Linked DNA regions of Daphnia pulex. Each later gene encodes a partner of the first gene's protein in a complex. Links are inferred from orthologs where the notes say so. Each region holds a gene or a part of one and is shown in the gene's direction. Other genes may lie near its edges.

Evidence for each region. The genes of interacting proteins can lie anywhere in the genome.
Region 2: mediator of RNA polymerase II transcription subunit 23-like (region 1) and mediator of RNA polymerase II transcription subunit 24-like share a complex: the UniProt entries of both Drosophila melanogaster proteins name them as parts of the mediator complex. The link is inferred for Daphnia pulex from reciprocal best matches to the Drosophila melanogaster genes MED23 and MED24.
Region 3: mediator of RNA polymerase II transcription subunit 23-like (region 1) and mediator of RNA polymerase II transcription subunit 20-like share a complex: the UniProt entries of both Drosophila melanogaster proteins name them as parts of the mediator complex. The link is inferred for Daphnia pulex from reciprocal best matches to the Drosophila melanogaster genes MED23 and MED20.

What each region holds. Positions count from the first base shown.
Region 1 is NC_060019.1:10,884,665-10,893,948, reverse strand, and holds the start of mediator of RNA polymerase II transcription subunit 23-like, read left to right. Parts: upstream 1-3,326; 5' UTR 3,327-3,423; intron 3,424-3,593; 5' UTR 3,594-3,681; intron 3,682-3,904; 5' UTR 3,905-4,125; intron 4,126-7,077; exon of another isoform or gene 7,078-7,251; coding exon of another isoform or gene 7,252-7,739; intron 7,740-7,810; coding exon of another isoform or gene 7,811-7,889; intron 7,890-7,974; coding exon of another isoform or gene 7,975-8,071; intron 8,072-8,802; coding exon of another isoform or gene 8,803-8,837; intron 8,838-8,937; coding exon of another isoform or gene 8,938-9,116; intron 9,117-9,184; coding exon of another isoform or gene 9,185-9,257; intron 9,258-9,284. Other genes in the region: uncharacterized protein LOC124191180, read right to left, coding at 1-63, 140-218, 302-560, 635-1,303; ovoinhibitor-like, read right to left, coding at 7,252-7,739, 7,811-7,889, 7,975-8,071, 8,803-8,837, 8,938-9,116, 9,185-9,257. UniProt on the Drosophila melanogaster protein: Component of the Mediator complex, a coactivator involved in the regulated transcription of nearly all RNA polymerase II-dependent genes.
Region 2 is NC_060019.1:9,363,794-9,369,375, reverse strand, and holds the end of mediator of RNA polymerase II transcription subunit 24-like, read left to right. Parts: 5' UTR 1-93; coding exon 94-189; intron 190-262; coding exon 263-388; intron 389-472; coding exon 473-574; intron 575-632; coding exon 633-994; intron 995-1,050; coding exon 1,051-1,379; intron 1,380-1,437; coding exon 1,438-1,766; intron 1,767-1,823; coding exon 1,824-2,060; intron 2,061-2,128; coding exon 2,129-2,295; intron 2,296-2,352; coding exon 2,353-2,530; intron 2,531-2,599; coding exon 2,600-2,697; intron 2,698-2,764; coding exon 2,765-2,981; intron 2,982-3,063; coding exon 3,064-3,212; intron 3,213-3,272; coding exon 3,273-3,514; intron 3,515-3,600; coding exon 3,601-3,791; intron 3,792-3,859; coding exon 3,860-3,997; 3' UTR 3,998-4,220; downstream 4,221-5,582. Other genes in the region: bestrophin-3-like, read right to left, coding at 4,235-4,431, 4,498-5,245, 5,320-5,469. UniProt on the Drosophila melanogaster protein: Component of the Mediator complex, a coactivator involved in the regulated transcription of nearly all RNA polymerase II-dependent genes.
Region 3 is NC_060026.1:11,659,093-11,666,536, reverse strand, and holds the end of mediator of RNA polymerase II transcription subunit 20-like, read left to right. Parts: 5' UTR 1-84; coding exon 85-98; intron 99-218; coding exon 219-361; intron 362-4,272; coding exon 4,273-4,538; intron 4,539-5,656; coding exon 5,657-5,767; intron 5,768-5,984; coding exon 5,985-6,077; 3' UTR 6,078-6,082; downstream 6,083-7,444. UniProt on the Drosophila melanogaster protein: Component of the Mediator complex, a coactivator involved in the regulated transcription of nearly all RNA polymerase II-dependent genes.

The sequences.
Region 1 (9,284 bases):
TAGACGGAACACAATACAAAACGGATGAGCAAGTCCCGTCTATTTGATGGTCTGGGACCTGAACTAAAAATAAACAGTTGCATTTGAAAAATAAAATTCCACCAAAAGGAGAGGGCCGTAAAAAAAAGTGAGTTATTACTTTAACTGGTTCCAGATGTTGAATCCCATCACGGTAATCCAGGTTGAGGACGCATACCGAAAATAATTACTAGCAATCGCTAGTGAAGAGAAATTTTTTTGTAAGGATATATAATTAAATAAAATTTTTAATAATAAATTTTAACCTATATGAGATTCTTACTTTTGAAAAAACACCAGGTGTGGGGTTCGGTGGGAAGTGAAAGCAGGATTCCGTATTCGAGTTGTACGATAATCATACAAATCAAGAAGCAGATCATCGAGTACCCCTGGATGTTATCACGAAGTGGAGGGAAGATGGCATAGACGGCCAACGTCAAAATGAGGAAGAAAGCCGAGACGTAATGAAGGTACGAATAGACACCCCACAGGAGATACCGCACCAATTTCATTCTCCACGGCAGGCATATCATGGCAATATCCTAAAGGGGATCAAAAGAAAAAGTTTCTTCATTGTAGTAAATTAACATTTAATAGGACCCTGATATAACTATACCTCTTGGTTTCCCTCAGCATCGACAGCAGTATCAACACAATAATTGTCGGAATGACGCAATACTTTGTACAAGGCTCTTTTCACAACAAAGTAGCCGGATGCGTTGACCTCATATCTGTTATCGACGAACATTTTTGGCACGTAAATGTTGAAATCATATTCGCAAGTCAACGAAGAATTCTCCACGACTTTGAATGGCCATCCGGCCGGAGTAACTATTTTGGAAGCGTTGAAAACTCGATCGTTGGCGATGCACTCCATGATCGAATTGCGTTTGACTGATTGGCCCATCGGACAACATTTTTTCACTTGCGCTGGAGTGCGGCAGTAGGCTACGACAGTCTCGTTACGAACATCATTAAACGCAGTGGAATGAACACAATACTGAGTTATTGTTTGATTGTAGCGAGGTTCTACAATGGCACCGTCGACGGACTGGTTTTCCATTTTGAAAGTTTCCCATCCATCGGAACACTGTAAAAGTGGATCGTTGACTCCGGATTCTTCCTGGTAGGTTTTGAACACCGCGGGATTATCGACGCACTTGCGCAATTCCACGTCCAACACCTGATTTCCAGGGCAGCACTTTTGCGGGAATACTTTGTCTCCGAAGGTTAATTCCGCTAACACGGTTATCACAACGACGCTGGCACACGAAAGTAATCCCATTTTCTCTTCTTTGGTCACCAGATGTAGGCGATCGTTCAAATTGGGGTGCGCTGGAAATTCGGAGGGCTGTGTTTAATCCAGTAGAAACCGGATTGGACCATGATCGCAATTAGTAGACCGCAGCAAACTGGACGAGAAATGGATCAAACGCGTCCGTGTCAGGAGCGAGCACCAGCCGACACATTCGCCCGCGTGGAAGTGTGCTCAAAGACTAAGTATCTTTCTTCAAACGTATTACAATTGAGTTTCTTCACAACGCACGGTCTTCTCCAGCACTTTCGCCCCCTAGCACTATATACTTTGAGCGTGCCCGCAGCTACACACTCTAGTCAAAAGAACGCCCGCTGTATCCCTCAGGTAGGATGGTTGTTGCCGTTCGTTCGAAACGAGCTTAGTCAAGGTTAAAAATCTCCTCACAACGTTTCGGTAACACTAGACAAAGAGCGTAGAACATTCACGTGTTGTTGACGTCACATTTCCTGGATATCTCACGATTTCACGTCCACGAAAATGTCATATTTATTGGTTCACGGAGTAGTACCAGTCTATCATGGGTATCTTTCACACCGTTTCCGGTCTGTCTGTTAAGTATTGAGTGGTTCGCGTTGCTAGTAATATATCCCAATTCTTTAACAACTGCGATTGTCAAATAGGAAACCGTCTCAGAGGGACTCTGAATTTTTATAGTAACTAGACTAATTCCTCCCTCCAGCAAACGGTCCGTGACTGGAACTCTAGGCGCAAGCTTTGATGTTTATGGGCACTATCACGAAAAAACAGCCTGCGGCCTGCAGACTTCGAATTCGCCGCCTCCCAAAAGAAAATTTATTCTTCTATGTATTTGTGGTTTGTGTGGATGTCTATGTTGGCGTTCAATATTTGCTCAACCGAGCGAATCCTCAAAGCAATAGCAAGTTTGAATATATACCGGTAACCGCCAGTAACTGGTTTGCCTATACCAAGGTCGCAGGTGGGACGCAAGAACAGAGCAGCAGTTCACGCAGACATATGGTTCGAGCGTGAAGTAGAGTCGACCTTGGCAACAGATCGCGACATCAAATTCCTTGTTGGTCGTCGTTCCCGAACGATTTTCCTGGAGGTAAAAAATGCGTTGATTGCGAACGAAATCTCTTATTTGAGATCGAGAACTGGTTGTGAAAAATTGGAAACACCTTTTTTTGTTTCTTTCTTCCAGATTCTCAAAGTTTTCTTGAGAAGAAAAATCATTAAACGTGTGTTACAGCTGACATTTCGAAATTCTTCTCATCACGCCCTTGAAACTGCTGCTGCTGCGCTCGTATGCAGATGAAGTCGCGTGAAAGTTCGTGTTCAATGTCGAAGGGCCTTTTCAAATTTCTAGTTCTATTGGAGCTTTTTTGCACAAGTCCATGATGGGTATAAGATGTTACAGGATGACGAAATATCTTTAACGCTTGGGGTTAATTCATGCGTGATCGCAAATTTTTAAATTTCAGGCTTTTTTGACCGATAATTTATACGGTCTCAAAAAATGCCACAACAAGCTGAGCTTATTTCCCGAACGACATTTGAAGGATATAGCCTTTTACGTTGATAGTAGTATAATATCCTGGTATTTGTATGTAAAGATAAGAATTATTTTACACGGACGCAAGAAATGCTATTACAAGCGGAATTTTCCCGAACGACAGTTGAAGGATATAACCTTTTAAGTTCATGGTGGTATTATATCCTGGTATTTGTATGTATTATGTTTGTATATGTTTGTAAGATAAGAAGGAAATTATTCCTTCTTGGCAGTCATTTATCTGCGGGTTTCGTGTAAATATTGAATTTTTTTCTTGTCTGTGGTAGGGTTATTAGATCATTCTAAAATAATTCCGATCCCTTTAGCGGATGTCGAGTGCGGGTGGGAAAACCACTTTTATCGTATTTTGAGTGGGTGTTTTTTATATTTGTGGATTTTTTAAATAATTTATATCGATATTTTAAGAAATAAATGGCTAATTAGGAAGTTAGCGTCGTCTGCTGCTTTTGTTTTGTTTAGTTTCGAAATAAACGTGGTCGTGTCCACTCTGTGGTCACATCTCTTAGGCCTACTCTCTTTACAGAATCACTTCGTACACACGGCTGATTACCAGGTAAATAAAACTAAGAATACCTATAGAATGACTATAGAAACTGAATTTCGAAGAATTAAACCTTTTCCAAATTTTTTTAAATGTTAGTTCGTCCTGACCAGCATTTATCATTTAAGCCCCTCTGTCGATGCATGGCAGTTTGTTTGTTCACTATGTAACCTTTTCCTTAGTGCATATTTGAGGCCAGAGACAGCCATCAACAAGATATGATGTAACCATAGACCTGTCATCAGCAGCAATCTCAGCATCATCGCTTAGGTAATGATTTTCATTACACCTTACTTTTATTCGAGTGGTGTGTGACCTGCTAGATACTTTAATTGTGCAATGTAATGCAGGACTTGCAAAAATGCAGTGTATTACATGTAAACCGTCTGTTTATTAACAATCAAGTTTTACTCACTGTCTCATTTTAAACTATTCCTTGCTTGTTGTTTCTGCAGATATTTTTTCGTAACCCATTTCTTATTTTTTTAATTAGTTTAACAGCATCCCGTTTGGATTCTGGATTGAGAAACTATCGATGTTGGCCATGTTACGGGTCTCTTCTTCCCTTTTCTTTAAACGGCCTCGTGTATGCCCATGTGAGTGTGGGTGTATTCACGAGGCCGCCCTTTAATATCCTATTCAATTATTCTGCGGATGGATGGAGAGCACTTGTGGATGCCTGTCCCGCTGTCCGTATATTTCCCAGGCCTGAAGGTAGGAAAAATGTATTCCTATTCTTTATTTTTTGACTGTTTGTTGGTGTTAAATCGTGACATAGTAGCCTACGGAGTACGATTATTCCTGAGCTAGATGCGGTTAACTGGAGTAGGTTCTCTTGCGGTTTTTGTTTACTCACTATAACTCAGTAAGGGTTCATTTAGGCGAAGTTTTTGTTTACTCAGTAAGTAAGAGTTCATTAAATTTTAGTGTTGCAGAACGACTGCAGGTCAGACCCAGTTTTGTACCTTACAACTTTGTCTGTTGTTGGTTCACAAACCTCAAATAAAAAAATATTTGAACTTTAAACACTTCCAGCAAAGTGCAACTAGAATTTATTTTTTTTCCCAAGAGAAACCTGCTAGTTTTATCCAACAAATCCTGTTCGAGGAACCTTCCAGCATGACGGTTAAAGAAATTCGATGCACAACGCTGACGTCATTATTTTTCCCCGGTTTCGTTCGCCTCAGGAAAATTGCCTCCGTCAGCCACAATTTTTTTTTTATTCACTTGACGTCATCAACATTCATTGTTTGACGTCACACTTGTGCGTGAGTCGATGAGGGGCGCGCCAAAAACAATTAAGTGGTGGTTCTCTCAACGCCATTTCGCAACCACGGGTTTTTCCGGTCACGCTTATTGTCAATTTACCTCACACGTTGACACCCGCGTTATTGTCCTATTTTGAGTTGACAATTTTTTGTTCACATTGTTTCTCCTCTTCTTCGACGAAATTGTTCTCGGTAAAGTGACTTGCTAACTCGACATTTTACACTTTCACGTAAAACAACTTCAGGTGTTGTTTGGAAATAGGGCAGTATAAGTCGACTAATTTGCAAAGATACTATAATATATTGTTCACACAATAGAGATAGCGGATAGTCACACTTTTAGCAAATGTTGGCTAAACGCCTAAACCTATAATGATTGGCCTAATTTACCATTCCAGCACCGCCGCCTATTGTCAACCAGGCGGTGTACCATTCGTTCACAATGGGGAAAACATCTCGGCAGGTTTCACGACAATTTCTTTGATTTTATCTTCTAACTTTCTTCGAATTTGGGTTTCAGAATTTTCGAAAACAGTTAATTTATTGTATTTTTCCTTGTCGCCACATTTTTCTGCTTTGCTTTAATTGTACCGGTCATCAATCTTACAACAATACGACGTGTTGCAGCACATATGCGGCTCGGGAGATTCTACTTCCTCGAGTTCTTTGTGTCGGGATGTTGTCGTAGTGAATGAAGGCGAATAAAACTCCAAGGGCAAAAATCTTAAAAAGGAGTTTGGACTCTGTTAGGCACTTTGACACAGCGATAACCACCATATACGTAAATCTCATGACAAAGAAAAAGGTAGAACTCGATGAAAACCGGAAAAGGCGATGTGGCATTTGCTGAATATAGCTTTAAACTATTAACAAAAAAAACATCTTCCAGCCGACCGGTCTCAGACAAGTTTACATTAGCTTTTTCATTGACATTGACTTTAAAGGACCTTTGACACATTGCAGAGAAAACTAGGTGTGGCGTTTTGAAAATCGAAATATTGTACCGATTTGATTCACCGGATTCATTCGCAAATTAAATATTTAATCATTTTGTATCTTTTGCAAGCCGGAGCACTGCGAAATGCGAATACGAGGCTTAGAAAAATTAATTTGGCGTTCACACAAACACAGTTGCAATCGAAAGCAAATAAAGCATTGAAGGTGACCTTCGAAATAATGTTCGAATCGTTCGCGATGCGAATTTTTAAACACCTTTACAACATCCTCAAGCTTTCCGCTTTGAGGGCCGTCAGGTGAAGAATGATTTAGCATTCATTTCGGCGAGTGTCTATGTGCTTTAATAGCGTGATTCTCACATTGGATATCACGTAGGCACATTTCTGTTCGTCTGACTTGCCAGTCGAGTCATCGTGAAAGACAAATTTCCTTGCAGTTTTTATTTTGTATTCTTTGTTTGATTAATTAATGTCAGAAATAACGTTAATCATCTCCTTGTTCTTCAGAGTTATAAGGGGATTTTGGATTTTAATTTGAGAAAATATTTCCCGACATAAACTTTCTTATTTATCCATCCTTTATTTTTATATCTAGCCTAAAGGATGAGTCGCGCTCGGGGCTTGTTTTTAAGCTGATATAAATCACAATCACATTTGGGAGGACGTCGCTTTGGGCTACCATCCGCGCCTTTTACGTCGTTCTTTGTAACTTTTAGAAAGAAATTAAATTCAATGGAATTGTGCAAGGTCGTTAGGATATTTTTCGGAGCTTTAGACTTCCTTATTGCTACGTGTGTTGACCATCATTGCATTGAAACAGATTTTCAACCCGAAATATGTTCTTAAACCATTGCGAAATTCTCTCTGATGCTTATCACCTTCAACGTGTGTGCGCAAGGTAATACTTAAGTTATGGTTTCTAATTTCCTTTTGCGCTAAAAAGAGATTACTTGATTAGGTTGTAACGACTTTGAATGAAGGTCTTGAAAATTGAATTTCCACCAGCTTCTCGACATTTCGTCACTAATAATATTGTTGCATCATTCTGCACTCGTCCTAATGCGTCGTGTTAAAATATCGAGTGCTACTCAAACAACTAAGTGCGCTAGCTGGCGCAGCTTAAAGAATTTTGTCTTTTGTTTCTGATGGTGTTGTTTAGATAAATCATGATGGTCAACGACTCTAGACAAATCGAAAAACGCGTCGAGGCAAATAACTTGGCACGTCACGTTGAAGTGGGGAAAATCCCATTTTTATATCAATGCGGATCTTGTTTCATTTGCATTGCAAATATTTTGCGCATTTTCTCTTATATAGCAAAAAGTATAAAAATACATCTAGACTTGTCTTTTCCTTTCCGTGGTCATTCCAAGGTGACCGCTAGATATGCAAATTCTAAATCGTAATTCACGAACGAGAAAAGAAAGCAGCAAACAGATAGATCGGTGATCGATAACATTTTTATTGGCGTTTTAAAAAAATAAAATAAATAGTATGCTGGTCATTTTTCGATCGGGTACTGATAATAATACTCGTACTATTATTAAAAATTTCAATTCTTCCATAGCTTTTCTAGGTAACGTGATTCAACAATAAGGTCACCTGGTTTCTCTGTATTACTTACACGCGCTGTTGCGAGCGATAGTTACAGTTGTTTTGATGGTCCCACATTTGGTGAGTGTGTTGATCATGCATACCGCATTGGGGTAAGTCTTTCCGTCAGTCCCGCAAACTGGAGCAAAGTTGTCCGGGCACCCACATTGTGTTTCGGATACTTTGATGGGTGTTGTTTTACATTCGCCGTCGTGAGCCTTCCTGATGGGTGAATCGATGACAGTTCCACATTGAGTGACTTCAACTTCCATGCAGTTCTCGTTGTCGTAGGTTTTGCCGTCTGTTCCGCAAACGGGGGCGAATTTGAATTGACATCCACACTCAGCCGCCGCTCTCTTGACTGTCTTCGTTGATTTACATTCGCCATCGTAAGCTTTGCTCTTTTTGTCGCACTCCAGAGCACATAGGTTGCCGTAAGTTTTCCCGTCTGTGGCGCAAACTGGCTCGTACTGCAACGTGCAGACACAGATTGCTTTTCGGCCGATCCCCGCTACATGAATTAAATAGTCGCAAATGTTATTAGTTCAAAAATATGATGTATTACTTTTAGCAAATGCACACCTCCGCAAGCGCCGGGTCCGTAGCTTATCACGATGCTTAAGGCGAAAAATATGAGGAACAGAGACGAGCATGAGAAATTCTAGATTGTTGGAAGAATGAAAATCTTGGTTATCTTAAGAGTCTGCACAAACTCCGATAATTACAAAAATAATAATATAATTTACCTTTGAGTAGAACTGAAGCATTTCAAGAGAAAAATGTTTGAGTCGATGGAGAGCGAAGGAAGTTTTAAATCTGAAAATGTTGTCTATCGACGGACACCTTTATATAGTACTGCTGTTTATGTTATACGTCTGTAGTGCCTCGATTCATCAGGATTTTGTAGACTGCAAACGCCCAGCGCCAAAGGGGATTATTTCTAAATATCTCCATGTTGGGAAAATCCAAGGGAACAATTTCCACATTTTAGTTACAACATACGTTTTTTTTTTAAATAATAACCCCCGTTTTTCAGTTCCGTTTCGGAGAAAAAAGACAACCAATAGGCCTTAATGTTTAGAACATTATTGATTTCAATGGCGCGACGAATACGTCATATTACCTACAAACTGATGGAAAGAATGAAGCGGAAGTATATTCTTTTGTTGAATCATAAAACAATGATGTTTTTAACATTGTAACCTGCTCTATTTTCCTCTGTCAAAATCCTTTGTTCCCGCGGGTTGCATACCGAGTTATATTCTACTACGCAGTAGGCTACATATTACGCGGCCATTTTGTAAAGATTTAGTGGATTCAAAAATGAATGAAACTACGTATCTAGGATCGCTTAAATATGCACCCATCATTCAACGGATATCACCCTCGCATTTAAACTAAAGCGTTCGATTTTCTTGCTCTTGGTATGCGTAGGTTAGACATATGGTATGGAATGTGAAGTAAAATCTCATCTCAGTCATGTAAATTAATCAATATAATTTTAGATGTATTTAAAAGCCTGTATACAATGAGTGGGATTGCACAGCAAATAGCACAAGTATATAAAAGCCCACTGGTCATCATAATAAAATAGCGTGACGAAAACGTACTAAAACATTGTTCGTATTTGAAATCAATAATGAATAAGAGGGGATCACTATAATTTTGGAGTTACTATTTAATGAAAATAATTTGTCTCCGCCATTTTATGGGCTCGCTTCTTTGCATGCACCGTCATAAGCCTTTGTGATGGACGACTTAGTCTTTCCACATATACCTTTAGTCTCGACACTCAATACGCATTCGTTAGAGTAAGTTTTCCCGTCTGTTCCACATACTGGGGCGTAATTTTTCTTGCAGTTGCAGCTAGGATCCTGGTCTTGTGGAACTGAGAAATAACATGACATAACAGTTATTTATCTATACAAAAATTAATATGTGAGCGTAATTTCATACTTCCTTGGACGCCAGAGCTAATCAAAATCAAAGTAACAAGTGAGATGAGAAGAAGAGCTGCGCTGAATCGGTTCTATGACGGAAATTTCGTACAAAAATA
Region 2 (5,582 bases), about 1.5 Mb from region 1:
TCAGAATTTAACGAATAATTGTGGCGTACTTCAACATATGTTTGTTAAATTGTGTTTTAGGTTATTAAGCTTGAAATTTCTATAATCGAGAGGATGACTGAAAGTGTAGAGCAAAAGCTCAAGCACTTGATGAGGAAGGCTTGGAGGGAACGTTGGACAGATCTCATGTGGGGGATATATGTCAAAGAGGTACTTTAACTGTAATTTCGTAACAAAAAAAAATATCTTTACCAGTTTTAAATTAAACTTTCTTTACATAAAGGTAATACCAGCAGGATCAACTGGAGATACATATAATCTAGCAGAAAGCATTTTACAGCAGGCTTTGATCGGACCATCTCCAAATTCAAAGTTGTTGTCATATCTACAGCATTCATTACATGTTCAAGTAAAACCACAACTTTAATTCAATTACTAAACACATTTTGTTTTGCTTGTTAATATTTAATTGCATACCATTTGTGTGTTTTAGATTGTTTCCTACAGTGCTGTTTTCGAAAATATCTGCCTTCAAGGTAGTATCCAGAAAACCAGATGCCTTTTGGAGTTACTACTTTTGGTGGAGCAATCAATAGTAACTTTTCCCATTCAGTCTTAAATTGAGATATGGTTTTAACAATATTATTTATTAGAAACATATTTCATGTACTGGATCTGGCGATGGGCCTGCTGCTTTAGCTGCTTCTCTATTGTCTTTGGAAACTTGGCTTTGGAGTCTTACGTCTGATGGACTAAAAAAACTATTTGATAATAATAGTGCAACCAATGACTATTCAGTCATTTGCCATTATACTACAGGATTACTGGGGACTTTGTATGAAGAGAACTATTTAATATCTCTTCTATACATTGCACGTTGCTGCACTAATGATCAGTTTTCAGCAACTCATCTTACATCGCTTGTAAACCAAACTGAGTCCAACCTGAAAAATTTAACTACTAATGGGAATCCGTCATCAGAAAAACTTGTGGAATCTGTCGAAAAAGTCATGAGGTACTTCATTTGATGTTCTTCGTCAATGAGTGGTCATTAAAACAAATTCTCCACAGGCAATGCCGATCATTTGAAAATGATCTATTCAAAGAAAATGGTCCCGAAAAGCCCTTTTACGAGAACTCATTGTGCACAGACGTACATACATTAATATCTTGGGAGGCGTTGCTTCGCCCCACGTCAGATGGCCTTGAGTTGACTCGACAGTTGGAAGTTCTACAGAAACTAAGAGGCTATTCACCCACCCAGCTCTATTGCGAAATCCTCAGAGCGTGTTGCCTAGGACTAGCCGAAACTGCTGATTCTCCTGGAGAGCTACGTTGGGCTGTATTCACTTTCCTCAAGGCACCGTCATTACTACTCCGACTTCATCGATCAATTTTTGGTACGATTAGCAATATTTTAAAATTTCAAACTGTTCTATTAAATTCTCGTTTATCCAGGATTGGATCCAAATTCGCCTATTGGAGAACCAAGTCCGGAAGTCGCGGGTGCGTTTGAGCGCCTTCTTTGCTATCCTGGACTTTTAGAAACAACCGATGCCAAATGCCATTGCAATGTCGTCGAAGGTTTATTAAATGAAGTGAAAATACGGACATCTCTTTTATCTGAATGGCATGTTACAAGCATCCTCAGCAAAAGAGAAAGTCTATCCCGCGGAGGTCTGAAGTTAGAGACCACTAACACACAAATAGCTACTTTGGTTCTTCGTGCTGAGCCAACGGTGGCCAGTATTCTGAAAACGTTGGATACTGATTACGCTAAAAATCAGGTAATCAAGGAAAATGTAGAGAATTACGTAGAGCAAGTAATAACATCTTCATTTTAGGACACGCTGTTGAAAGTTTTATCTCATTTGCTTTCGGGGCAAAGCTTCGAACTCATACTGAACGCTGCAACTGGGACTGGTAAACTCCGAGCTTTTGCCACAAAACTCGTGCGATTTAACGAAGCGAATCGCCAACCTGCTGGTTCCGATCCAAGTAAAACTGCAAATGCAAGGGCTCTACTCTTTGACATCTCATTTCTAATGCTCTGCCGTATTACGCAAATGTACGGCATTGAGGTAATGAAAATCATCTAATAATTCACACCTGAATGCCTTCTGATGTTACTTGTTCTAATGATCGATAGGTGATACTGAGTGGTGAACTAGGAGGGGAGACTTTCTTTGAGCAGTGGGCTTCAGAATGGCTGAAACCTAATCAGGCGCCTGATTTGTCATTAAGTCGCTGCGATCCCATGTTGACTGATCAGTTATTGAAAGCCTTGACATCTGGAGAGAGTGACCTTAGATCAGGGTAAAATAATCTCGCCATTTTTTTCTTGAAAAATAATAAGCCCATTTCTATTCATAGGAGCGTTCGATGGCACGAAGCTTGTTTCCACGTCCCTGCTGTAATACGGGAAATTTTGGGGGCTTACGAATCACAATTAGTTTCTGATGAAGAAGTTGAAAGGATTCTCGATACTTTACGGACTCAAATGTGCTGTCTGTCTGTTTGTGCTGCCGCTTGGCTTCGATTTTACATCCAAGTAAGAAAAGATCCAATTAAAAAAAAATCAAAAAGATTCGAATTAAAATACGGTGGACATCTCCTTTAGGTACAACCAGCAAATCTGAAAAGTAAGCCCACGAGCATGCTCGATCATTTGATGACTTCCCTGAATCTTGATGACTCTAAAGAGCATTATAGGGAAAGGTAAATTACGATAATGCCCTAACAAATGATTTTTCGCGTTCACTATAAAATTCTTTTTTCCATTAAGGTCAGTATTGATGCTGCAAATCATTCGGCGTCTGGCACAAGACGACAATCCCCTACAAAGCGTCTCAGAGAATCAAGATCAAAGTTTGGATCATCAGTTAACCAAATTATGGAATAAGATTTTAAATCATGGTTGGTCAGACCATAGCACAACAGTGGGTATTGATCAACTATTCAAAATTGGTGGAGCAACATGGTTGGTCACTTCTTTGGTCAAGGTACTTAATCAAAGAACTTTATCCTAGACAAGCCTAGCAGGTATGGGTATGCGATTGAATGTCCTTTCTTTGTGTCTCGCAGGCAGTTATTAAAGAGCAATCTTCTGACAAAAGACAACGGTGCGTCGAAGGAGCGCTGTCAGTTGCACATTTAGATTTAGAAAGCTGTGCCATTTCTTTAGCAACCAGAGTACTCCCATTCCTACTAACTCACTCCTCAATGCTGGCCAGGTAAAAGGGTTTGGCCTCAGCGTAATGCCAATCCCAGTTAACATTCCTTTTTTATTTCAGTGACGAAGAAACCGGTGGACCAGGCGGCAAAGCGTTAGCCCAGTTGACTGTCCTGCTGTTTACCGCTGCGTTGAATAACCAGTTAGCCCCAGAATCCGACTCATCCAGCCCTTCCAAAAAGTTGGGTTCAAAACGTTCAATCGATTGGGATATGAATACGCCGGGTTTTCGATATCCTCCTTTGAAAAAGATGGCTCTTCATGAGGAGGAATTTGACTTTATGTTTGTAGCTCCTAACAGCGGTAAGTTGTTGATTTGTTTTGTTGTTTTTTTTTGTTTGTTTTTTTAAGATTATTTGAAACCCTGACATATTGATATTTGTTTTCAGCCCATGAAAATAATCCACTCTCCAATGCAATTGCAAATTTAATGCAATTAATGACCCGAGCCGCTGGTGAAGGCATTATTACTCCGCAGCTTGCGTTCATTAGTTATTTCATTCAAACGATGGCAGAAATAACTTCAATCAAAACCAAAGAAGTCATGAGACCTCTTTTGACCTTAATTCCTCCAGCTCTGGTAAATCTTTTTTTTTTACAAAATTAACGTCGGAGTTTTCTTTCAAAATCTTTTTCTACTTCCGTAAGGTGTTTTACATGCTTGCCGTTTGGCCCGGGTTAATGTCCATTTCAGATGTTGCCAAACTGTTGGCTCATCCCGGCGATGAAATGGGTGTCGGGAAAATCGCTGCGCAGATCGTTTGTGCATTCAAGAATATAAATTAGTCCACAACAAGGAACAGAAATGGATAACAATTTTCTGTTCAAAAAGTATTCGCTGACCGACTTCAAAGTGACGATACTCTTATAATTTTGCTGGAAATCACCTTCTGAGCATTTCGCCTACTGTGGAAATCTGAGAGAACGAAAAATTCGCATTGTCAAGAAATTGTAATTTTCAATTTTTGTTCACATCAGTTTCGGAATATAATGAATTTTCAGTAAGAAATCAGCTATGTTAGCTTATGTCAAAAAGAAGGGGCTGTCTTCTGTTGTCGAAGTTGGAATTTTAATCCCGTAGGAGTTGCGCAAGCGTACCGCCCCATTGATGTGGCCTTCGAAAACGTTTAGCATATTGATGTCGTCTTCATCGTTACCAAATGGGTCAGTGGCAATTCGGCCTACTTTGAGCCAGGCATAGTAAAAAAAGAATGGCAAAGCTGCAATAATAAAAGGTATAATATTAAAACAACAAAACACTTTTTGAAATTTGTGGTCATTCGTACCGTAGGGCAACGGAAAATAACCACTCATCACCGATGTCAAATAATGTTTTTCCGCTATTTGATGGGACAATATAGACACGAGTCCGTAACAATAGATGGCAATTGTCACAGCTTGAATCAGGGCAACAGGAATGTTCTTTGTAGCAAATTTAATTACTGTTCCACCACCTTTCTTCAAGGCCTGGATAGCATCGATGTTGCGACCGAAATCATTAGCAACGAAAAAGTATCCTTTCTGAGAAGTGTCCCGCAACAATCCGTTTAACCAATCGTAGACGACTAGAGAGCACGTCCTCGAAGTACCGCCAGGCTGCCCTTTGTGCTTTTCCAGTAAAAGTCGTTCGTTCTCGCATAGTAATCCTGCATTCTGGATTGCCATCAGATTAGGATATCTTTTTCTCAATGGTTGGCAGACAATGCGGAATGTGAGGAGCCACATAAGCAGAACGTAACGGATGTACAGGTCAACTCTGGCACGACCATCCGCAACTTCTTCTTTGAGCGACACAACGAAAAGTGTGATCGCTCGGTTGGTTCCAGGCATACTAGACATTATGTTGAACCAGCGATTAAGTGCTGTTGAAGTGAAGAAACCCAAGAGCAGAACGACGGGCAAGCTAGAAGTGTATCGCGCCAAATAGCTAGCCACGGCATCAAAATTTGCCTGGCCGCCAGTGTCCAAAGCGAAAGCGTAGAACAATGTGATCGATACGTAAATGAGGTAGTAGATGATGGCTTGCTTCCAAACCTAAGAAAGAATAATCTACAAACATTCGACACCAGGAGTTTCTTTGGAATACAACAACACAAAAAGGCTATTACCAGCTTGAAGAAACTTTGCCGCCATCTGAAAATACCGCGGAGACTTTCGCCAAATTTCGTTGCTGTAGCGGATACCCCCTCGATTTGAATCGACTCGTCCGCTTCTATGCCAACATTTACTTCAACATCTTTGTTTGAATGTTTCTGCATTTCTGCAACGCCTACTCTATTTTAATTCACTGACTAACGCACGTTTTACTGATAAAAGAAATCACTATTCATGAAGGTAAGCAAGAAATAATTGAAATAGAAACTGAACACTT
Region 3 (7,444 bases), on another chromosome or scaffold:
TAGGAATAGAATATAAACATTCAGGTGTAATTTCGGGGAGTCGACTGTGTGTGGAATTTACCTAGTTGACCCTGTAACAACATCATGGGTGTCATAGTGTGAGTAAAGCATTCAGTGTCTCTCAGCTTTATCACATTTCATTCAAATGAAGGAACCATTAATTGAATCACAAGTTTGTATGAAATAATTACTAATTTGATGTTGTTTTTCAATTTTAGTTTACAACTGTTTGCTGTTCCTGAAGGCAAGTCCGGTCCTCAGGTTATTGAAATGTTGACCAAACGGGCCATTGCTCTGGGAGCTGTTCTTAGTGGATCCTTCATCGTGGATTGTGAAACTTACAGTTCTACTGCATCATTGGGTAAAAAACACAATCTTCTATTACATTTTTCCCGATTCAAGTCCATGGTGGTAAACAAGTTGTGACAGCAGACCCATCTGCTGCTCACTTTACCAGCTCCAAGTCCACCGTTGGAACTGTTCAGCTTTCCCATAACCAGATGGCACCACCCATCTCTACATTTGAATAACTCAAATGTGGAGGGCACCGAGTTCTTTTGATTTTAACCATCCGCTCGACACGTAACACACGAGATATCCGAATCCTCTAAACACCTTTTACGAGCAAAACACACTACCTGACTTGTAAATTTCCTCCCCTTCCATTCCCACATATGGATGTCTCTACCTCTTTTATTTTTTCCTCCCAAACTCTTTGCTTAGTTTTCTTTATTCCCTTTTTGCTATTCCAACTTTTATTTAAGGACCGTGTCGAGTGAAGCTAGCTTTTTTTTCCCCCTAAAACGATTCGTTCTGCCGGGTAATTCAGGTAGGCCGTCCTACGTGCGCTAGTGACAAGCTGTCAACATATATACTTGCCCGTCCTTGGCTCTTTGACTCACGGACGCCTCTGGGACCGATGACATACGGTCCATTCAATTCGTGAAAAAAAACAAATTTGTTTTTTTCTTTTTATTAATTTTTTTGTTTTGAATTTCGTATTTCGATTCCGCATTGTTCTACTGCCATTCCGCGACGTTGAATCTGCCCGTCTGCTGCCGCCGCCGCCGCCTTATTGTCTCTTAAGTCTGTTAAGGCTGAGCGTTGATACAGTTGGCGTCTTTTGTTTCATCGATCCGTAGCCTCTCTCGACTCTCTTTCTCTTCTCTCTCTCTCGTCTAACTCGGCAATTCGATGTCAAGCGTATTTGATACGCCACAGGGCCATCAGCTGACTTGTGTGCACCACTTGGCAAAAAGAACGACCGAGAATAGCTCTGTCTCGACATGTTTACATTTAAATAGCTTCATCCCCTCTCTCTCCACTTCATTCCTTTTTTTCACAATTAGTTTCCATTTTCGCACACATTTCAAGCGACTGGAAATCAAAAGGGGTGGAGCCAGCAGATACACACGACACATTCTTGAAATGTTTTAATAAGTTACAAGGGAAAAAGGAGTAGTAGAGATATATATGCGACGAAGCCTCCTCCTTCTTCTTGTTAGAAAACCCCCCTCCCGGAGCGCATCTGAAGAGGAGGGAACCGTTCCCCCCAAACTTTCTTGTTGTCGTCAATCTTGGGCGTGATTCGTGTCGTCACGGAAATAGAGAGGGGGGCCGGCCAGTTTCGGACCGAAAATAATAAAAAAAAATGTTGAAAAAGGAACAAATAGTCGCAATATCTTTTCCCGTCTCCAACAGAAGACCATAGCGCGAGCACACTCCTCTCTTCTTTTTTGCCGATTTCGCCGATTTTCTGTTGTTTTCCGGCGTTCCCCCCACTTGGTATCCTCTCTACATCTGGCCGTCAGTCTGTGCCGTTCATCTGTGAAATTGAATCTCTCCGCACCCCCGTACGAGTTTTCTCAGCTGACACCTACACAGGACGGGCCAACTTGGCGAGTTTTTGGGAAGTAGGAGAATCTATCAGTGAAAGAAACGCGGACATTTTCATCTTTTTATTTTTTTCTCTTTTTCTTCCAAAACGATCAAGTTGGAATGATGAAATCTGAGCTTGTGGGAGCCCCCTCTGGACTTTAACCAAATGTTTTTTAATGACCCTTTAAAAAGACGCGGAGAAAAGAGAGTCTTAAAAAACGTTTTCTCTTTTTGAAGTTGTCCAACTTCATTTTCTCCTGTGTGTTTTATTATTTGTGATCTTTCAATCGTTAAGGGCTCGTGTGTATAAAACATTTTCCCCCGTTCTTTTTTCTTTCTGATTTTACCCCGGGTGTATAACCACACCTTCCTACAGGGGGGTGAAAGCCGTTTGTTTCGTATGATAAAAATAAAAAAAAAAAAAAGAACTAGGAAGGCAGGTAAATTATTACCTTTGGTTAACCTTTCCTCTGTGCTACGGTAGGGGGGCGAGAGAAAGAAGATCTCGTCGAGAAATCTCCCCGTCCGTCCGTCCGAAATGAAGACATTCCGATCGGGGGATGGCGCAAAAGAGAAGGAAAGAGAGAAAATATTTTTATATCAGGTGAAAGAGGAGGAGGTTATACATGAAGTAGAAGAAGAAGAAAAGAAGCGTCCATAAGTTGATTGGAATGCGTTGAATAATTCACGAGCTGGATTGATTTGGTTTAACACAGAAAAGGGCAGCAGCAGCAGCCACCACACCAGGAAATAAAAGAAGATGTATCCTATTACCGGGGGGGATGATGTGAGCCTGATGGAATATCACCAAGTTCCTTGTAAAAGAAGAAGAAGAAGAAGAAGTGAGCGAGAAAGCACATTGGGTTGGTTGCCCTTTTGTCGGGTGTTTGGGATCTCTACTCGATTGAGATTGGTCAGGGCCTCTCTCTTGATCTAACTCTGCGACGTGGTGTGGGAATCGTTCGTGAGAGATATCGCGTGTCACGAACCGATTGGGCCTAAAGAAGAAGAAGAAGTTTTTCTCCAGCCTCATCTCGTGTGAGAGACAGACGCAGACTTTGCAGCCGGGGTCCAACAACAACAACAACATCCCCCATCCCAAAAAACAGCAGCAGCTCCGGTCGGAGTAAGAAGAAAATCTCGCACACACAGTGATTTCCTCCTCCCCGCAGAGTTCCTTCTCTTCCACGTTTGAAATTCCCTCCTCTTTCCCCCCCCCCCCCAAAAAAAAAGACATTTGAATTACACTGAAAATTTAAGTTTCCCGCGTCATGAGAGAGCGTATTGGAATAGAATTGATTTTTTATTTCCAACCAAAGAAAAAAAAGCAGAGGGAGGCTGGAAAGAATCCCAGAAGAAGTAGAAGCCACTTGATGTCTTATCTCGAAGCAGTATTTTTTCAAATGGCTCTTTTTTCTTTCTCTTCTTTCTTAGCTTCCAATTTTTTAAAAAACATTTTATTTTGATTTTCTATTTTGAAAATAACCAACGCAGTTAATGGGTAGAATGTGGGCAGGAAAATCTGAAGAGGAATCCTTGTTCTTATATTCTTCTTCTGGCTATATGTATATCCACATGCACGAATATATAGAGAGATATACCTGCTTCACGTCTAGATATCAAGTGGACGGGCGCTACCGATCCGCCCAGCTGCTATACACAACACAACAACACACATGACTGCCTACCGACTCCGTGCTTTTGTGGTTTCCTTGTTTTGTTTGATTTTTTCTTTCTTTTCTTTCTTTCTCCCTCCGTCGGGGGTGGAAATAGAGGAGGAAAGAGAAAGAAGAAGAAGAGATAAGTTGATGGTGAGGTTTGACGTCACACTCGTTGAAGATTGAGAACAACTGGCGCGCATAGTTATTGTTTTCTTCTTTCTCTTTCTCCCTAATGCCCAAGGTTTCCTCCCGACACTTGGCGTGCGCTTTAGTTCTTTTTTTCGTGGGGGTTGTTGTTGTTGTTGTTGTCGTCGGTAGCGGAGGAGGAAGAGGAGGAATAGAGAGACGGGGGCGACGGAAGGCTGCGGCTGTTTGTGGTTTATCTGACATGTTGGAGAGTTGCCCGCAAGCTTTTTCGAGTTGCCATTTGCGAGCATTTCCAACCAAATCCTCCGACGAGATGGAAAAAAATCCGAAAAAAAAGGAGAAAGAGACAGACGGGGGGCTAGGCGCCATCATCATTATCCGGCGGGACTTGACTGATGACGCCATCAACTTGTCTATCGCCCTTGTTTTTGCAAACTGCCAATCTGGCTCAATTTCTTTTTTTCGTAGGAAATTTGATTTCTCTCATGTCTTGTGATGTGGGAGGGTTAAACGCCAATGTGTTTTTATCATTCATTTTCTTTTTATTATTTAAAATCATTAAACTTTTGGTTTCTTCATTTGGCAGGAGCGCCGAGATCGGTGCATTTGCTGCACAATTCCGAGACGCCGGCCTCCGTGTTCGCTCTGCTGGAGGCGGCCAGCGGCAACAAGACGGTGGCCCTGGTGGCCGACAACTTGTTCGACCTGCTCATGCTCAAGCTCTCCAATTTCTACACGGCCAAGAAGCAGACCAAGATCGAATCGAGAGGGCCGCGCTTCGAAGCCGGAGACTTCCTCGTCAAGCTCGGCTCCGTCACCATGGGACCGGCCTTCAAGGGCATCCTAGTCGAGGTATACATTAAACAGCAACCCAACCAACCAACCAATATCCCACGTTAGTGCATAGACAATAACGACATCAAAAACTTCCATCTCTATCTCGACTTGACGCTGTCGATTGTCTCCCTTTTTCTTTCCCTACAAGGTAATAATGATGAGAGGCTTTTTTCTGGCCTCTTGAAAAACAAGAAAACCCTTTGACAACATCCGTTTTCTCTGTGTGTGGAGGGAGAGCTAGAGCTAGAGCTTTTCCAGCTTCTTCTTCTTCTGTGTTTACAATCTCCGCGTGATGGTTCTTTTTTTCCGTTTTCGGTCATCCAGCACTAAATATGCAAGCGCCTCTTTTTCTTTTCATTTCACTCGGGAAGGTTTCAGACAGTTAATGAGCTTGTCAATATTGAATTAAAAGTGGGGTTGGGTGGGAGAAATTTAATTATTTGAAATGATCAAATCACTACGAGTCTACGAGCTGGCTCTGACGGGTTTGGGCTAATATTTGTGATGATGGACGCTTGAATAGAGCCACAGAGAGAGAAGGGCTGAGTCAATGTTGATGTGAAAAACGGGAGAAAGAAAAGAGACTCTGTCTCGTTTTCTTGGTTTTCTTGGTTCTTTGATTATTCGTGACTCGAGAGAGTTCCTCGCTCTTTTGGGTGCCTCTTATTATCGTACACGAGCCGAGTGTGTTGGCGCTGGGGCGGGCTGATGTTGTGAACAAAACAATTGATCATCCATCCAACCATCGGGGCCTTTTTATTTCTCTTTTTCCATTGAAGAAGAAGAAGAGAAGAAAAGAGAAGAAAAACGCGGCACAACTGGAAGGCGCGTGATATTCTCCGTCTGTGTTGTTACGTCATGGGCTCTTCTCATCTTCTCCTTGTTTCGTTTTATTTTATTTTTTGGTTTTGTTGTTGAGATGTCATGGAATTTCAAATGAGTTTTTGGGGGCGAACATTTTCTGACTCGGCTGAATATTGATTTCATATACTCCCGCTGACACTCGCAACAACAATAATAACAACAGCCAGCCAGCGACGTCTGCAGGGTCTGTTTATATGGATGAGAAACAATTTTTTTGTTTTCCCGATCGATTCTATCGGAGAGATAACTTTTGCCATCCGTTTTGACAGGTGGAATATCAAGCGTGCAGTCTGCCGGCCGCCTGTTGGGATCTGATCCGCGAGTTCATGCAGGGCTTCTTGGGCGGTTGCGTCCCATCTACTCCGCCTCCGTACATCCAGGTCTGCTCCTTCTTCCTGCTGCCCGTCTATAGGCTCAAAACAATTTTATTTTATTTTTTTCTTCTTCATCCCCATCAATATCAAATAAGAATTTACGATGTTTGCCTTTCGTCATGTTGTTATTATTCCAATTCGTCTAACAAAATTTTTTTTATTTTTTTCTCTATTTTTTTCCTGGATGCATAAATCTTTTTTCTGTTCCGTGACGGACCATCAGAGCCGATTCGGCGACATGCTGGGCACTATCGACGGCATCAATCAGTACCTGGAGCAGTTCAACGCTTTCCGCAAAACCACCGGCATCCGATAGATCGACAAACACAACAAACAACAACTCTATTTGCCCTTACACAACAACAACAAAAACGCGCCATTGCTACAACAAAATAAAAAAGGAAAAATACAAATAAAGAAAATAAAAAGAACTCCGCCGCTCCGGTGTTTTTCTATGTTACTTGGGTACAACTCTATTATCCATCCTTTTGGAAAAAGAAAAAAAAACTAAATGTTTTTTATTTTATTTTCTCTTTAACCGTGTTGATTCAAAAACCGCCGTCGCCCACCTTTGCACACACACTCGACCCTTCTTGTATTTTTTGGACTTTTTTTTCAAAGTTTCCCGCTTTTCTTCCGGGCGCTTTTTTTAAAAAACTTTAAGTCAACAAGAAAAATCAAGAGGACAACTTTCTCTCTTCTTCTTCTTTTATTGTGTTGATTTTGTGGGCTTCCCGTTTCTAAACAAACACATCATCACCTCAATGGATGGCCATTAGGGGTTCTCTGTTGTGTGTGTGTGTGTGTACCAAGTGCCATTTGCTATCCTCATTTTTTCCCGGAATTTTTTGAACATTATTTAAAAAATGGCGCGGTTTTTTCCCCCCATTTCAAAAATTCAAATTGCTGACTAGACACAAAGGAGATTTCCACGGTGTATGCCGTCGTGTTCCATCTGCTTTGATATCGTTCTCGGTTTGAATGAAACAAGAGACTCCGACGACGTCGTGCCACTTGATTGCGGGGGGGTCACAGAGGAGTCGACAGTTTCTGATGTAATAAGAGAAGTAAAAGAGCGACGGTGGATGCTATTTCCAGCAGGGCTGTATACATATATATATAGTCTAACAGCAGTTTATACGGCGTACGAAATCACTCTCTTGAAGTGTGTTGTTTATGTGTACACTCTCTCTCTCTTGCCGGCGTCTGTTTTTGATCTGTTTACATGTTTGGAATAGCAGCGCAAGACGTTCGCCGGCTTATACCTGATACCACACAACTTTTTCCATCTATCTATCCTGACCTTTTGGCTTCTTTTGATTTCACGCCTGTGGCATTTCCCCCCCCCCCCCGGTATATATTTATTTATTTTTCTATACACCGTGGCCGCCGTCGTCGCCGTCGTGCCATATTATTTATAGGGGAGGAAAAGATTTCGGATTCTGAATGACCATGTGAAAAAAATGGTCCGGGAATCAACATCAATACACGTATAGGATAGGAGGGACGGAGGCTATATCAATATTCGATGCTGCTGCTACTTGGGATATTTATACAAGAGAGGAATAGCTGAAGGCTTTTCGTGTGTGTGTGTGTGTTTGAATCGGCTTTTTGATGGACGGCAGTATACGGCGATCCCTTGATATTGAAAAGGTAAAAAAAAAAAAATAAATATTGAAAAAA